Linked DNA regions of Oryctolagus cuniculus. The protein of the gene in region 1 interacts with the protein of each later gene in a pairwise test. Links are inferred from orthologs where the notes say so. Each region holds a gene or a part of one and is shown on either strand. Other genes may lie near its edges.

Region 1 (4,265 bases):
CATTTTACATATCTTTAACCAGAAGCAATCCATTACATGACAAATATATGGGAGCCTAAATGAAATAGGACTCTCTTACTTGAAGCTGAAGCTTCAGTTTAATAAACTCTGATTTAATAAGCTATGCCTAGAGTTTCAGCTGTGCATAGTAGTTATAAAGCTTCACATTCTTCTCAATGTTCCATTTATGTGCATGACACACTATCTATTAATGCTATGATTACAGACTTAAAGACTACTCAATGATCTAAAACTCAAATTTCATAAATTACTCCAGAATATCAGAAGACTAAAGTAAAAATTAGTCTAAGGAGAGAACTATTAAAAATGCTTACGTTTAAAATGCCCAAATAGAGCAAAATTATCTATAGTTTCACAATAAAGAAAAAATTATGTTACTACTTTTGACCTTATAAGATACTTTATTTCATCCAAATCTTAACCTACAAACGAAAACTTCATCTGAGACCACTGATAATCACCACAGACACTTTAGAAATGGTTTTCATATTTCTTTTTAAAATATAAAAAGGGGAATTTCAGCTGATTTTGTTTTTTGAATGACTAATTACAGGAAAAATATGGAAAAGGAAATATTGCACCACTCAGGTGCAACTGATTTTTATGAAGAAAAAGTAGTCTATAAATCATTTTAATTAGTTGTAAGTATAAAATTGGTGTCTTTTCTCTCTAGTGTACAAATGAATAAAAATGAATTAAAACTCTTTAACTATTATCTTCTAAATTAGCATTTTAAAATTATATTTAAAAGTAATCCCTAAATAGCTAATCTGACCCAATGATCTAATCTAGAGGAAAGACAGACACAAATCCCAGTGTTCCAAACAGAGCTGCTCTGTCAGAGACTGAGATCTGTGCATTACTCTTGTTAGTTCACATTCAAAACAAAAGCTGACTTATAAACAGACATTTTCAGGTAGGCAGACCCTCCTAAAGTATGTATTATATTTAAGAGTTTAAATACTGTTCTTCAACACACTGAATTTGTCTTAGTTATGTACTCTATGTCGCAATTAGTCCTGGGAATGAGCATCATACAGTGAATGAAACTCACATGCTCCATAAATGTTGAGTGATTTCGTTATAAATATTATTGATAACATAAGAGCAATGATAGATCACTCTGCAGACAAGCCTTGCAATAGTATCCCGTAGTATAAAACTAAAAAAGCAAGTGTTCGTGTCAGCTTTCCTACCAGGAAAACGTTCGATTCTGTCATCTGTATCATGCTGTCCTCTTATACATTTTTATAAACTTTTATAATATGTAAAATAACTTATGCTATATGAATATACACAACATCTGGCAATACCTAGCTTTTAACGTACCTGTAAAGATATTTATGCAAGAAATTGTGGAACACCCGATGGGGGGTGGGGTACTGTTGTCCTAGGGGAGATGGGATGGGGTACAACGTATGAAGACACTCCATTCTTAGCATTGAAGACACTCCATTCTTAGCATCAGCTCACATATGAAACTCCAAGAGCCAAGGGGAGCGTTCAAACTGTCTAAGACAAATATTTAGATTCCCAAGGTCCAGACAGAATCATCACACATTCAGAAACATACTGTTTCAAGAATCAAGGACGAAACACTCAAAGCTTAAAACCCTTTCTGAACAGTGAGATAAGCTGAGAATAGGTCCTAGCACTTCCTTTTGTGCTTTTAAATAAAAATATTTGAGTAGACGCTCGTGAATCTTGGAAACATGCAAATGGCTCTAACAGCCACGGAGCACAGGATGATGTCTTTCTAAAGCGGCCTTAATTTCCTTAAGGGAAGATGGATTGGACGTTTCTGGTTGGCCGTGGGGGGAAAAATAGCCACATTGAAGCCACGCTTTATCTTCATTAGAAATGGTAAAGGGCAAAAGGATCAAAATATTTAGAGAGGAAAAAAAAAAAAAAAAGAGGGGCGAATTTGGTGTTGGGGGGGGGGGGGGCGGGCAGAGGGAATCCAGTTTCAAACCAGGCCAGTGGGGGCTGCAGAGAAAAATGGGCTTCGGTTCCAAACTGTGACAAGCACCAGGCATCACAAAAGACCAACACCACACACACCCCACAGCAGGGCACACACAAATACACCTCCCAAGGTCTTCCTCTGGGCGGGCCACCGGGGTGCAAGGGCGGCGGAGCCAGACCTGGCACTCGCCAGGGGAGACACCATGTGCAGCAATTATGCAATTAGGGAAAACAGCGAAAGATCACGCCGGGCACTTTCCACCGTGACATTTACGCTGTACTTTTTGCAAAGACTTAGTTCCAGGATGCGGCTGGGAGCGGGTAGGGGCCGGCACGGTGGAGAAGGATGGGGAACTGAGAACGGAAGGGGGTAGACGACGGGCAGGGAGGGAAGAGGCACCAGGGGGGGAGGATGGGAAGGAGGGGGAGGGGTGGAAAGGGCGAGAATCGGGGGCAGGAGGCTCTCGGGAGGGGGCGCCGGGCACGGTGCACGCCGCGCGCAGGAGAGGAAGGGAGCCGGGGCTCGAGGGGTGCGGACGGAGACCTGCGGCGCGAGGGGGGCTGAGGCGGCCGGCAGGCGGGGAGGGCGCCCGAGGCAGGGGGCACCGGCGGGCCCGAGCGAGTACCTGAGGGAGGGGTGTCCGCGCAGGTCGCGGGCTCCACACGCAGCCGGGAGAGGGCAGGGCTGCGCGGCGCGACGGGGGAAGGGGCTGCGGAGGCCCGGGCCACGGAATGGTCCCCGCCGCCCGTCCGATCGCCGACAGCCGGACCCACGCACCCCGCACCCGACCGCCCGGCCACGCCTGTCCCCGCCGCGCTCGCGCCCGCCCCGGACTCACCCTCCGCGCCGCCGCCGCCGCCGCCGCCCGCAGCCGTTCCAGCTCCGGCTTCCGAGGCTGCTCCCCGCGGCCGCCGCCGCTGTGGCCGCCTGAGTCCTGGAAAGTGAAGCCACCACCTCCGGGAGCCGCCGCCGCCGCCAGCCGGCCGTCCGCGCGCGCGCCCGCGAGTGCGCGTGCCCGAGCGCCCGCCCGGGAGAGACCGCGAGAGCGCGAGCCCCACGTCGGCCGTGCGGCGCCGCGCGCCTCTCTCCTCCTCCCCCCCCAACACAACGCCGCCCCTCCTCCACCGGCGCGCGGCCGCGAGGGGGCGGGGGCGGGCGCGCGCACGGCCGGGCTGCCCCGCCGGGCCGGGCCGGGCCGGGCGAGGGGCGGAGAGGCGGCGCGCAAAAGTAAAGTGACAGGCGCGTCCCGCGCGCCGACTGGACCGCGGCCGGGGGTGGGCGAGGGGCAGCGCGTCGGGGAGCGATGGCAGGGCCAGGGGGAGGTGGGGGAAACCGAGGCTGCCGGTGCGGCCGCAGGGAGGGGACGCGGGGACCTTGACGAGCACGCGCTTTAAAGGGGAAGGCTGACTGGGGGGTGGGAGGGGCGGGGGTTGTCCGGAGACGGGGCCGGGAGGCCCCACTGCAGCCTTGACCTCACACTCACCTTAAAGCTTCCGCACAGACGCTTCCTGGTGCCATGGCAAACCCGACTCCTGGACGCGTGGTGTCCACGCGCACCCAGACGGGAAACTTGACGCTGGCCTGTGAAGTTCGTCCGGGCTGGGCCTGACCCTTCACCCGACACCGCGGCGCGAAGGTCATCCTGCCCTTTGGTTCTCTGACCCAGAACAGAACGCACACCGGCGGGTAGCTGGGGGCTCTTCACCCCCAACAACTGGGACAGAGCACACGGCGCCCGCTTTGCAAACGGCGCTCCCGTGAGATTTCCCACCCCTACCTGCAGCAGGTCTTCCCTGAACGCTCTCACTCGCCTCACCTCTGCTGGGTAGCGATCCCAGAGCTGGGAGTGTGCGGAAGCCCTGCCCGGTTAGCGCCCGAGAAGTGGGACAGACTGCAGGTAGCCTGAGCATCACCTGGCCAGCTACCTAATTAGGTGAGGAAACCCAACCCCCCACCCCCACCCCCCAGGCGCCTTGAGCCCTACACAGAGCAACGAACTGAGTCCAGAAGAAATCCGTGCAATAAGGCCCCGGAGGACCAGAGCTGTGCCTGTGTCTAGAACCGAACATTGCTTTTCTCAGATGTCTTCTTCAACCTTGACTTTCTTTCTAACATCCCTGAAATCTCACAAAAGCAAGTGCTGGCGTCTAGCCCGTGCAAATCACCACTGTGCAAAAATGGGTGCATTCCTGTGTACCGCTTGGACATGCCACTCAGGGGTGGCAACTGGCCCTCTTACTCTTAAACTCTGAAATGGACATCGGAGGACTGGACATTA
Region 2 (3,812 bases), on another chromosome or scaffold:
GTGCGCTGGCCACAGCGCGCCAGCCGTGGCAGCCATTGGAGGGTGAACCAACGGCAAAAGGAAGACCTTTCTCTCTGTCTCTCTCTCTTACTATCCACTCTGCCTGTCAAAAAAAAAAAAAAAAAAAAGAAAGAAAGAAAGAAACTACCTAAAAACTACCTAATACTGTGCGGGAGGATTTTCTACATAGACATCAATCAATGATGTGCCTCCACTGCAGCACCAAACAAAACTTGATGTATACACTTATCTTTACTAAATATCCATCAAATTAATAATCAAATGAATGAATGACTACAAGTTATAACTTGGTGGCATCATAAGTAAAAATAGAACATTTTCAAAGAAGAAATAATGTAATATTGAACACAAAATAATGTGTCAGAATAAATACTGGCGATGACAACCCGAAATACGGAGCTTTTCAAGGATTCTTGCTTGAGTAGATGGAGAAAAAACAAAAAACAGTGAAGGAGAGAGAAAGGGAAATGGAACATGACTGATTAAAGAAAAAGAGGCTGGATCTGACTTTGGACATCAGGAAAAAGAATGCACATGGGACAGAGCAGACAGAAACACACATTAGAGGTTAGAATTACAGGAGATTTACATTAGCACAGAGATGTTAACTAAGCCGTGAATCTGCGGAGGTCATTCTGGAAAAGAAAACTGACATACTCTTAAAAAGATACCCCCAACTGGGACAGGTGTTAGGTGTAACAGTTAAAATGCCACCTGGGATGCCCGTATCCCATTCTAGAGTGCCTGGGTTCAAGTCCCAGCTCTGCTTCTGACTCCAGTTTCCTGCTAATGTGCACCTTGGGAGGCACTAGGTGATGGCTCAAGTAGTTGGGCCCCTGCCAACCATGTGGGAGATCCAAATTGAGTCCAGCCTCCTGGCTTGGGCCTGGCCCAGTCCCAGCTGTTCAAGCATTTCTATCTCTGTCTCTAGCCTTTCAAATACATTAGAAAAGAAAAACAAAAGGATATCTACCCCCAATAGGAAGAACACAAAAGAGGCGGGGGTGGGAGTAATAAAAAAAAAAAGGAGAAAAAGATCTGAGAGAGAAAATCAGTTAAGCACCAATTTATCAAAAAACTATTAGTCAAGCATCTGTGTAACTGGCAGTGTGATAAACATAATTAGCTTTCAGTTCAAGCAGGCTTCCATATCCTTGTCTTTATTAAACAAGAAAGATCTTAGTTGGGATTCAAAGTCTAAGAATTGCCTGACAACTCACCTGGGATCACTGGAACAATTAAAAGTGCCTGTCCGTATTCCAAATCTTGATACCTTTTTGACCATTTTCTCCCAGTGAATTCTACCCACCAAGGGACTTCTGTCGTTTGCTATGACCTATTCCCCAAAAAAAGAAAAAAATAAATAAACTTTAATGATCTAAAATGGAGTCAAGCTAACCTTTTGTATCTATGATATAATTTCATTTTTTGGGAAAAAGATACTTTGTTCCCAGTTCTTGGTTACTGTGTATCATATTATTACAGTAATTCTTATTGAAGGAGTTACTACCCAACTGGAAAAGACTTAAACTCCTACACTCTGTGGCCATTACCTAGAAGGGGAGTCAAAACCATATCAAAAAATTAGCCACATTCTCCACCCCATGGTTTTTTTTCTGGAATAAAGTTACACAAGAAGAAAATGGTCCTTGGAGTCATTTCTCTTTGCTCTTTAAAGAAAATCTTAAACAACAATTCAAATAAAACTTATTAAAAATTATCACAAATTGAGTTCAACAAGTTCAAATTTTACTTTTTTCAAAACATAATTATGGAATAAGAGTCAAACCTGTGCTTACCATTGAATTAAACTCTGAATAAACCGATACTACTTTTATGACTTTTTCTTAACAATCATGAAAAGCTCTCACATATAAAAAGAATTACCATAGTTAATTTTACATTCTTAAGCTTCTTCAAATTTGTAAATAGCTTTCAAATACAATTAGGATTGCAAGAAAAGATTTTTTTAAAAAAAGAAAAAAATTCTTAAATTAATTCAAAATATCTAATGACAATGACTTTTCTGATGAATGTCAGCCTTTCTAACCATTAATACTTTTTCCTTCTCATCCCCTAATCTTCCTGGCTTGAATGAAGGCAAAATTTCAGTAAAGATATTAGTAAAAAAAACAAATAAAGGGTGGGTATTTTGCTGCCATTGGAGTGCCTCGTTCAAATCCTAGCTTCTCTGCTTCTGATCCAGTTTCCTGCTAATGCACACCCTTGGGAGGCAGAAGATGGCTCAAGTACTTGGGTCCCTGGAGTTAGTTCTGGGTTCCTGGCTTAGGCCTGGCTCAGTCCTGACTGTTGAAGCCATTTGAGAGTGAACCAACAGATGGAAGAAGATCTCTATTTGTCTCTCTGTCTTTCAAATAAAATGAAAAATTAAAACTAAAATTTGAAAGCATAACCAAAGTTTTAAAAATTAAAAACAAAACCACAAAACCAAGTGGAACTTAAAAGGAAACCCAAAATGTCTCTTCTTGTCATGAAACCATCTGATTTACTTTAAGCCAGTGTATATGGTCCAAGTTTATTTTCATAAATGCCATTATTACCAATACTATTCACTTTAAAATCACAACACAATACTCTGGGACTTCCGATCTTCCTGGCAGGAAGTAACCATTTTCACGTTTAGAAAGCTCCAAGAAGCTCTAGGTGGATGTGTGAAATGAGTGCCAACAGTCAGCTCTCTGGGAAAGGCAACATGTGCTCCAGCGACCTCATCTAGGTTCCTTCTGTTGGGAGCCCTAACACATGTCAGAGAGCAAGAGGACTACACAGAGGGCCTGGCGACGGACAAATGTTTAAGGTTTCCTTTTTGTGCCAATACACCACTCTGTGTGAGTGTATCATTCTCATCACAAGACATACATGCAATCTAAGTACATATATTCTATGCAAGCTATATAAAATCATTAAAAGTTAAGGATGATTAATAAAAAACTGGTTTACTTTATGAGTAAATACAAAAGTTTTTCACCAATACAAAACACAGGATAAAGTGGCTTGCCATTTATTTCACCTCCGGAGTAGTGTTAAGTAAGGGATAAGTTAGAATATTCCTAAACAAAACTAATGTCTAGGAGCAAAGATAAACAAGTTTAAAATCAGCCATACAATCCTTTCAGCCAAGCAGGAAATATATATAATACTTAAGTGAAACACGGACTCCCAAGACTTTACTCTAAATCATATGACCCTCTTTACTGCTACCTCAGTTCCAGGGACTTTAAACTCCTTATCATATGACACAGCTGGGAAAAATATGTGCTTCCTTGAACTATGCCAGAAGTCAAAGCAGAGAAAATGAAATGTTAACAGGGGTAAGTCTATAAAACCCCTAAATTACGCTAACTTCTATTTCAGAACCCTATTCACTGTGCCACCTGCCTCTTGGAGCAAGTCTCTTGTGAAAAAATATCCGTCTTCAGTTGGTGACGCCAAGACTGAGTGATGGCAGAATCAAAGCATCCACAAAACTGGGAAATAAATAGCTAATGAAAAACAGGAGCTTAGGCTACAAACAACCGTTAGGAAAAGAAGACTTGGTTTTCATGGATTACACAGTGTATTGCTGGTACAGATGTTACATTTGTGTTATTACCTGGAAAACCAAAATTAGTTCTATTCATCTCACACTGCAGAGCATATAGGATAGACACTGCTTGACAATCAGAAGACGGTCAAATTGGCCTGAACAATCGGAAGAGGATTGGACTGGCCGGAACCTAAGCATCTTTAGCTTTGAAAACACTCCTCACAGACTTAAAAACAATAAAGCA

Evidence for each region.
Region 2: the proteins of UBE2E2 (region 1) and RNF103 interact in a two-hybrid assay, tested with the Homo sapiens proteins (2 studies listed by BioGRID). The link is inferred for Oryctolagus cuniculus from reciprocal best matches to the Homo sapiens genes UBE2E2 and RNF103.

Annotation. Positions count from the first base shown.
Region 1 is NC_091435.1:159,115,839-159,120,103, reverse strand, and holds the start of UBE2E2 (ubiquitin-conjugating enzyme E2 E2), read right to left. Parts: upstream 2,965-4,265; 5' UTR 2,826-2,964; intron 2,783-2,825; exon of another isoform or gene 2,613-2,782; intron 1-2,612.
Region 2 is NC_091433.1:116,144,537-116,148,348, reverse strand, and holds part of RNF103 (E3 ubiquitin-protein ligase RNF103), read right to left. Parts: intron 1,358-3,812; coding exon 1,242-1,357; intron 1-1,241. UniProt on the Homo sapiens protein: Acts as an E2-dependent E3 ubiquitin-protein ligase, probably involved in the ER-associated protein degradation pathway.